Linked DNA regions of Nothobranchius furzeri. The protein of the gene in region 1 purifies or fractionates together with the protein of each later gene. This does not show direct contact. Links are inferred from orthologs where the notes say so. Each region holds a gene or a part of one and is shown on either strand. Other genes may lie near its edges. The genes, in order: atp6ap2 and ccdc115.

What was found.
Region 2: the proteins of atp6ap2 (region 1) and ccdc115 purify together in Homo sapiens (affinity purification with mass spectrometry; 3 studies listed by BioGRID and IntAct, counting the BioPlex papers as one, with this or other methods). This does not show direct contact. The link is inferred for Nothobranchius furzeri from reciprocal best matches to the Homo sapiens genes ATP6AP2 and VMA22.

Annotation. Positions count from the first base shown.
Region 1 is NC_091754.1:27,618,975-27,623,512, forward strand, and holds the start of atp6ap2 (renin receptor), read right to left. Parts: upstream 3,011-4,538; 5' UTR 2,930-3,010; coding exon 2,857-2,929; intron 2,076-2,856; coding exon 1,945-2,075; intron 1,857-1,944; coding exon 1,728-1,856; intron 1,655-1,727; coding exon 1,559-1,654; intron 1,457-1,558; coding exon 1,319-1,456; intron 1,207-1,318; coding exon 1,153-1,206; intron 1,071-1,152; coding exon 921-1,070; intron 848-920; coding exon 728-847; intron 436-727; coding exon 241-435; 3' UTR 1-240. UniProt on the Homo sapiens protein: Multifunctional protein which functions as a renin, prorenin cellular receptor and is involved in the assembly of the lysosomal proton-transporting V-type ATPase (V-ATPase) and the acidification of the endo-lysosomal system.
Region 2 is NC_091755.1:25,080,823-25,084,874, forward strand, and holds ccdc115 (coiled-coil domain-containing protein 115), read right to left. Parts: upstream 2,414-4,052; 5' UTR 2,308-2,413; coding exon 2,188-2,307; intron 1,808-2,187; coding exon 1,704-1,807; intron 1,616-1,703; coding exon 1,503-1,615; intron 1,426-1,502; coding exon 1,249-1,425; intron 1,058-1,248; coding exon 858-1,057; 3' UTR 630-857; downstream 1-629. UniProt on the Homo sapiens protein: Accessory component of the proton-transporting vacuolar (V)-ATPase protein pump involved in intracellular iron homeostasis.

The DNA.
Region 1 (4,538 bases):
TCTAAACTCGGGACAGATAACATCGCTGTAGATACGTTTCAGGACCACTACTCTGATGTTAAAAAAAAATGTGTTCATATCATCAGCTCAGCACGTTAAGAAGGAAGGTGAAAGTATTCATCATGCTCTTCGTCCCATCCAACCGTCACACGTTTTCACTGCAGAAGACCTCAAACACACAAAACACAAACATTCACATAGGAGCTTCAAGGAGACACCGGGAGTGTTGGCGGTCAGGACTCAGTCCATCCTGATCTTCTGATTAGTCATCCTGTAGATGATGCTGTCATATCCAGGGTCCATGTTCCACAGATTGTAAGCGATGGCGATGACGGCGAGGGCCAGAGCGATCATCAGCCACAGCACAATGTTGAAGATGACAGCGTACTGAAAGCCGTACTTGTGGGCCAGGTTGTAAGGGCGGCCTGGGTTGCTCTGGAAACATTCAACAAGTCAAAGTGTCACCTATAGGAAGTCCCATATGAATCCCACTTAGCCCAACAAGTCCAAACAACCACATCTACTTGCCCCCATGCTTTATCTCACATGCAAACACGACACAGACAATTATTAATGAAGAAATAAAATGCTGTCAAAGACATTCAGAAATCCAGGAGTACCACGTTAAATATTTTAATGAATTAGAGCGACTATTTTAGGCATAATTAGATTTTTGTTTTTTTTTACCATTTTACTGAACCAGTGCAGAATTTTAAAGTCGACTTACAATCTGCTTAGATTCCAGGATTGAACGGGACTTCCTGATCAAAGGAGCCTCAAAGGTCTTCACTGTGACAACCTCCACCACGGCACCGTTGCCATAGAGACGATACATATCCTCCCCAAACTGTAATAAAAAAAATGTGGTTTATATCAGGTTAAAGTAAACAGTTAGGCAGCATCAGCTTCAGAGTCCTTACTTTCTGAAGGACAGAGGCTATGATGGAGGTGGCATCGCGGTACTGAGGAGAATCTGTGCCATAAAGCCGACTCAACTCCTCCAAACCAGAAAGCTCCAAGGAGTAGAGGTCAGGGGAGATGTCCTTGGCCAGATGTTTGTGTCTCTGTAGCTACAGAAGGGGGGGGGGGGGGGGGGGGGGGGAGTTTTTATCAAGACAAAAATAAAAGTTTCAGCCATGAATGATGACTTACCAGAGCGGTGATGTCATGCAGTACTTGAACCTCAGACAGGAAGAGCAGATCAGCCTGAAAACAAAATGAGTGTTGATTACAAAAACAAACAAAACAAAATTCTGCTGTTAGGAGAGGGATGCATCTCAAAATGTTAGATTTGGCGTCACGGCAGTCATCGACTAACTTCTGAATTCCTGCTGAGAGAATTGAGTGGAAGCGAGGTCAGCACGGAGCTGTCCTGCGACAGCCGAGCACGGATCTGCTGCAGGGTGACCGGCAGGTCCTCAAACACGGCATTGGCCTTGCCGAGCATGTAAAGTCGCTGAAAGGGAAAACAAAAGCTTAGGAATATGAGAAACATTTGCCTTTACAGTATTGCCCCAGAAATTTGTAGTTTCCTGTTGTACACTGGATTTGTTTTTACCTCCTCGCTGGGAGCCAGCTGCAGCACGACAGGGGTGTACTCAGCAAACAAAGAGTGAACAGTCTCTGCAACACTGTCCAGGGTAAAGGGTACCGGCTGGAAGAGAGAAGATAACTCTAAACTCAATATTAAGCTAGAATTTCACATTTCTGGTGTTGGTCTGACTTACGTTCTCCAGGGGGTACGAGGCAACGCTCTGAGGAAAGGACAAGCTGTCGACTCCTCTCACTACCACAAGCACGTTAGCTCGAGGTCGCTGGAATAAAGGACCAGCCTGAAGGCCGGGCCAAGTCAAATCCTGTGTGAATAATAAAAAAATAAATAACCACGAGCCCTAAATAAAACTGGACAGAAATGACACACACATGAGATGGTAAATAAAGCACCTCTTGAATAGAGAAGCCCATGGTAAGAGCCACCAGGTCGGGGATCTTCGTCCCAGATACCGGCCAGTCCCCTTTCTGGAAAGACACAAACTCTGGTGCTTGCAACACCGTAAGGCTGTCTCCAAGGACACCTGCGGGACAAAAGCAAAAATAACTACAATTTTCCCACAGGGACAGACTTGATCCTTAGACTGTTATATTATCTCCTAACCAATTGTGTATTAGATCACATTTGTTCATGAAAAGTATCTTAAATGAGGTGGATCATATTTTAGAAAGTCAAGCGAATGAGTATAACCTCAAATTACATATTTTTAGTATATTTTCCGAGTATTGTGACCTTAAAAAGGTTATAACAAGCGTCCTAGTAATATGTATGACAAAAATAGAGCTTAATCATGACCAGCCCGTATGGAAGAATCCACTCGTGACTAGAGACAACAGGGATGCGAGTCAATAAAGAGGAACTAACTAGTCACGTGACAAAGCTGAACATTTCGCTATGTACGAAGAAATTACAATTATTTTTTGGCGATTTAGATTACTTTAAATGTCGCTTGACAATTTGTGAGAAAAAACAAATACACATTCACTGTTGGTTCTAAAGTTAGCTGCAAGCTAATCTCCAGCTGTTAGCACTGCTATTATGAGCAAAGCTGTTATTATTCTCAGCGATCCGGCACTACGACCCTTTTTGTTTATTATTATCTTTAAAACATTCATAGTTATATCTACGCAACACTAAAACACACAGGCAGACAAAATGTCAGAGTAAATGAATGCTAACAACGCTAACTGGACTGTATTTGGTCATTGAATGATTAAACTCCTAAAGGAAGCGACGACAAAAGGGTTAGTTATAATAGAGTACACAAATGTTAATAAGAGTTTTAGTTGTCGTGCAGTTCCTACCGGTGAGGACACAAAGGACTAAAACCATAGAGTTAAATGTAGCCTCCATCCTTCGGCAGTTCTTCAGCGACATCTTTCTCCTTGTATGTCGGTCAGCTGACGCTATGTGCAGCAAAGCATTGTGGGAGTTTGTGACAGAGTAGCTAAGCTTACCGCTACATAGTGGACAAACCGCTTGTTAATGTTCGATAAAAGCTAAAAAAAAGAGATTTATGACTATATTTCTTTAAATTAACTGTGTTAGGTTTTAGACGTTTAAGACATTATTTATTCGCGATTTTCCTTGAAGGTGCAGTGGGTTTTTTATTTGTAATGTCACTACATCACCACAAAAGGGCGGCAGATCTGACCACAACAGAAACCAAAGATCAAATAATCTCAAGATAGTTCACCGTCTGTCGTCTCTTGTCTGTGTCCTCATCAGCGGCCTTCTTTTTCAAGGCTTTAACCTCTTGGTAGCACACAACTGTAGCAAAGCTGCTGCTCAACTGATAAACCCTGTTCATCTGTTCTACATGCAAAGACAACAAACCCCAGTTTGGTAACAGAGTCCCATCACCAGCCTGAATCTGCCACACACACACACACACACACACACACACACACACACACACACACACCCTATTCTTTGGATCACATGATGCTCTCATGTGAGTGCAATACAGACTGTATCAAACACACATTTATTAAAAAATTAAGTGGAAGAGTGTTTTGTTTTAAGGCAGAAATTTATTATGTTAATATTGCAACTTTTTCTTCCCAGTGAAATTTACATTAGCTTTGTGATTTGATTTGTGTGGTTCCTTCTGTACTATCTTGGTCCAAAATAACTCTGTTTGTAAAACCAAAGTAATTTAAAGTATATTTCGTTTGATTTAACTGCAGAAAATCATGAGATGTTTCTTATTGTCATGGTAATATAATTTTATTTATGAATTTAATTTAATTGAATTGGGTTTGACTGTGGATTGGTGTTGTTGTAATGTCACAGGTTTGCCACAAGATGTCAGCATTGTATTTCTTTTCCCCTAAACCAGCTTCATTTCGAAATTACAATATTTAAATCTTCCTTTACAACAGCATCTCTGCTGCTTAAAAATAAGCAATTGCATTTGAAATTATTTAGCTCTTCAACATAAAAGTAAATATTTGTCCTGAATTTAGCCATGGCCTGTTTATCTGGATCTGAAATTTTGACATTGGCAGCTAATCCTGCTAACACAGAGCAGATGTGACTATGGTTTAGCCTCCATGTGCTTTATTTCTGTGACACAGATCGACTCTCGTCTGCTGTAGCTTTTTTATCCAAATATTCACTGACTGAATGCAGACTTTCATGAGAGAGGAGGAAAGAATGCTCGAGCTGTGCAGCCAATCATTGTTGGGTGAGTCCTGTGAGCCCAATCAAAGCTCATTACATGCATCTAGTCAACTCCAAGTGCCCACCATGAAGAGTTCACACAGGTCATGCTTTACAAAAAGCTGTTTAGGAAGGCACGAGAATCTCTGCAAGACGGAAAAAAGGCCTCAAACCATTGCTCATGTGTGTGTTTAAAAGTGTTAGTTTGAAAAGTTTTATTTTTGTTATTACAAATAAATCAGGCACATTTGACTGACTTTAATAAAGAAGAAGATACTGTTTATTATTATGTAAATTCATGCAGAACGGTCAAGGAATAAAT
Region 2 (4,052 bases), on another chromosome or scaffold:
TGTCCCCCCCACTTTTTCCAAAGTCAAGTTTTGACCCCTGCACTATTTACCATCCAAAAACAATATTACTTTATATAAAATTAACACTGGTTGAGCTCTAGGACCAAGCAGAAAACAACCGTTTGTGTTGAAGCCTCTTTCCCATTAGAACAGACTGTAAAGATACCCCCACCCCCGTGTCCCCCCACTTCTAAAGTGAAAATTACGTCCATGGTCTGGAGCGCATAACGATCAGAGCTCTGCACCTCTCAGGTCAAAATAATCCCCAGAGTCCACATAGATAATTTAATATAAGTAGAACCAGGATCGTTTTGGGCTCCCTCTGGGTGTCAACTGAGGGCTTCCAGGGGAGCGTCATCCTTTGGGGTGAGCTGGGATCCCTTTAGCTAATAGCTCACCCATAATTCCAACCCTGCATATAGCACAAGTTGGTTGCGAGAGTTGCCGAATCCGAGCAGCCAGTTGCTGGAACGGTCCTTTCAAAATAAGACAGTTCGCTGATCTTGCTCCGGCAAGATCCAGCTCAAATTAAGCACTGATGACACCCTTTAGTGCATGTTTAAATTGATTACATATGGGAAATGCCATCGTTGCATAATTACTCACTGCGTGAAAAAGGATGTAGAAGATTTGAGCAAAAGCCATTTTAATAACACTTATTAAAGCTGGACCAGTCATTGAACAAAACAAAAACACGTTAACATAAGGGGATATTTCAAGCCACATTGAAATGTTTTATACATGTTAATAACTGTACAACTCCATGTGAATAACTTTGATGTAATAATGTTACATCTGTGACTATCCCTTCTAATTACAGCAAGAAATTATTTGATGCATCAGTGAAACCCTTTGATCTATTGGCTCCCTGTTGACGATGGAACTTTGGTGCCCTCTTGCTCAGATACAGCAGAAGTATTAGATTCACTGCCGTGATCAGCAGAGTCTCTGAATTGTTCTCCTGGGGCCTTTTTGTTTTTTAAACCGTCCTTTAGCTCTTCTCTTGTGTTTAAAACCGCAATCTGGAGAGCTGCAATCTCAGCAGACAGCTCCATTACTGCAATAAGAGAATAGTAAACAGAATTTTCATTAGCATTTAGCAAATGCTTTCACAAGCACGCAACAACCTTCATGCTTATAAATCCCATTCAAACATAAAAGAACATCTAAAAAAAAACAGATTTCATATGCAAAGTACTTAAAAACATTTGCATAGTATTGACTTACTTTAGAAATTAACCATCATACCTTGTATGAATGATGACTGTGCATGTTTAAGAGGCTGCGGCACCAAAATCCCAAACCACTTCAGGGGGTCTTGCTGAGGATTGTGGTCTCTTCTCCAGGCAGGAGCTTTCTGCTCGCTTATATCCTCACTTGTCTTCTTTTCTGAGATGATTTCAGTCTTTTTTCTTTGCCTTACACCTGTAAAAACATGTAGTATGATCATTTGATAAGAAACAAGTAGATGACACATTTTACCATTAAAATTTTCTGTTGACCTTCTTCTCGAGGTCCAATATCCTCTACAGACGTCAGGTCCTTTACAGACTCTTCACCACAGGTTTGAGGAGACCTTTCGATGCAAAATTCCACCTCATCGTTGTCCAGGGTTCTATTAAACACACAGTAAGGGATTGTTTTAAAATAATATTAAGAAGTGTCCAACGGTTTTTTGACAGCATTTATTTTGCAGTCCTCACCTAACATGAACATGAACCAGTGGCTCCATCTCATTTGCATACTGAAGTGGTGAGACTTGTTTATTTCCCATGGAATATCGTGCTTTGGACATGGTGAACCATCCCTAAATGGTTAAACAGGTAGAGAAAAGAAAGTTAAAACAATCAGTTACAGTATTTAGATGTAGGAGAAAAAAACAATCAAGCTAACCAGTTCAAGGGTGATTTAAACATTTGGTTTTAGCTTCAGAAATGCAAACATGTCAATAAACGTTACCCCATAAAAATAATTTTGTTTACCATTTTTACTCGATGTTCTCCTGTTGACATATATTTGTAATAAACTAGATGAATGTTTTGGCATTTTGAATGAATGATGACTGATACATTAATTTGAACACGAAGTTCAAAATAATGTATTTTTTAAAATGTAAACAAATGAGGACAGACATCCGAGTATGCCTAATCCCTTTCTAAAATGTGAAGCTAGCTGAATAATCTTTACCTGCTCGATGAGAGAATTCAGAGAGGTTCTTTTCTGCTCCAGTAACTCAAGCTGGTCCATAAAACGGAGCAGTTTGTCGTCCAGTGATGGAGAAGACTGCTCTCTTCCAGATACACCCATGTCGAGTCTCTGAAACAAGTAAGAAGCGGAGTTTTTAAGGTCGTTAGCGTTAGCGGCAAACAAGTCTGAGACAAATGTAGCTTCCGTAAAGCGTCACGTGACGCCCACAGTCACGTGACATTTTTAACATCCTCTGGGGGTGTAAAAGTTTATAATTTCATGTCATGAACCTTAAAGGGTTATTACTTTATATGTATTATTTTCCTAAGAGTTGTCATGAAAAGTACCTATTGTGTAAATAAACAGTTTTGCAACTAGATGTTTTAATTTAGCTGTGCTGGTTTTAGCTGACGATGAAAACACAGAAGTTGTATTTATTGTTAATGTAAAGGTAATATAATAAAAAAAAAGACATGCGTAAAAGAATCGGATTGTAGGAGTGCCAAATAAATACTTTGCACGAAAAAAAGCTGTTCCCATACCGGGAGTCGAACCCGGGCCGCCTGGGTGAAAACCAGGAATCCTAACCGCTAGACCATATGGGACTGTTGAGCCGGTAAACAGATGTATGTATAAATGTGCTGTTTATGATCACTGACCTATCTTGTCATATAGAGTTGGATGTGTGTAAAGGTGTAATGGGCCTCTGGCAGTACCTGTTGGGCAGTACCTGTTCTGTGAAAGGCGAGTTGAGCGTTTTATCCATCCTTTTGTCCAGCCATACATTTTATTTTAATGAGTTTTTTTAATAATCATTTTTGCACAACCTGATGTATCCTGTTTCATTTTTCACAAAAATTATGATTACAGATACTTATCAGTAAAACATATTTGCCAGTACTTCACCTTTTAGCTCACATTCATAGAGCTGTATTTTGACGTGTTCACACATGTCCCCCTGTAGCTCGCCGTGATCGTATAGTGGTTAGTACTCTGCGTTGTGGCCGCAGCAACCCCGGTTCGAATCCGGGTCACGGCAGGGATTGTCCCTGACACGGCAAGGGTGGATACCTTTTACTTTATTTTCTTTTTATTTTTGCTTATTTACAGTTTAATTAGTCAATTACACTCAGTACAGATAATAACATTAATACATTTTCCTACCGGCATATGTTGTTGTTTGCGTTTTAAAAATTATTTTAAACATGTTGTCAGTGAGTATCAATTTTAACTCTTTATGTCGTGTCTTGCTTTTATCCTAAAGCTTTAATTTAGTTTTGAACATTATTACAAACGTACGATAATTATAGGGTTACTTCTGTTTATTCTAGTTGCACTTTGTAGGAAAATGACGGAGCTACAGAAACAGAAATAAATTAAGTGGCCTAAATGTTTAAGTTTACAAAAAAAGTTACACGAAAATTTACATGTTTTTGTCGATTCCACCCACCTGGATTTAGACTTTAACCCTGATTTTGCATAAAAAGAGGAGAGGGACTTTGAGAGTACGGAGGCGCTCATTGGCAGTTGTCAACAGCGACGTCCATGTTCCGAGATGAAGCGCCAATCAAATGAGTCGGCGCATCGTGCGCGCCTCTAGTTCTACACATGCAGCAATGTCATTGGTGTGTGTAATCACAAGGACCCGCCCAGATCAGACAGAGTTCCGCGTTTGAGTTTACATGCCCTAAAGTGCACATTTCAAACAGGTAGAATAAACTGGTAATAATATCATCTCTGGTAAGTTCAATATCTATCTATCTATCTATCTATCTATCTATCTATCTATCTATCTATCTATCTATCTATCTATCTATCTATCTATCTATCTATCTATCTATCTATCTATCTATCTATCATCTATC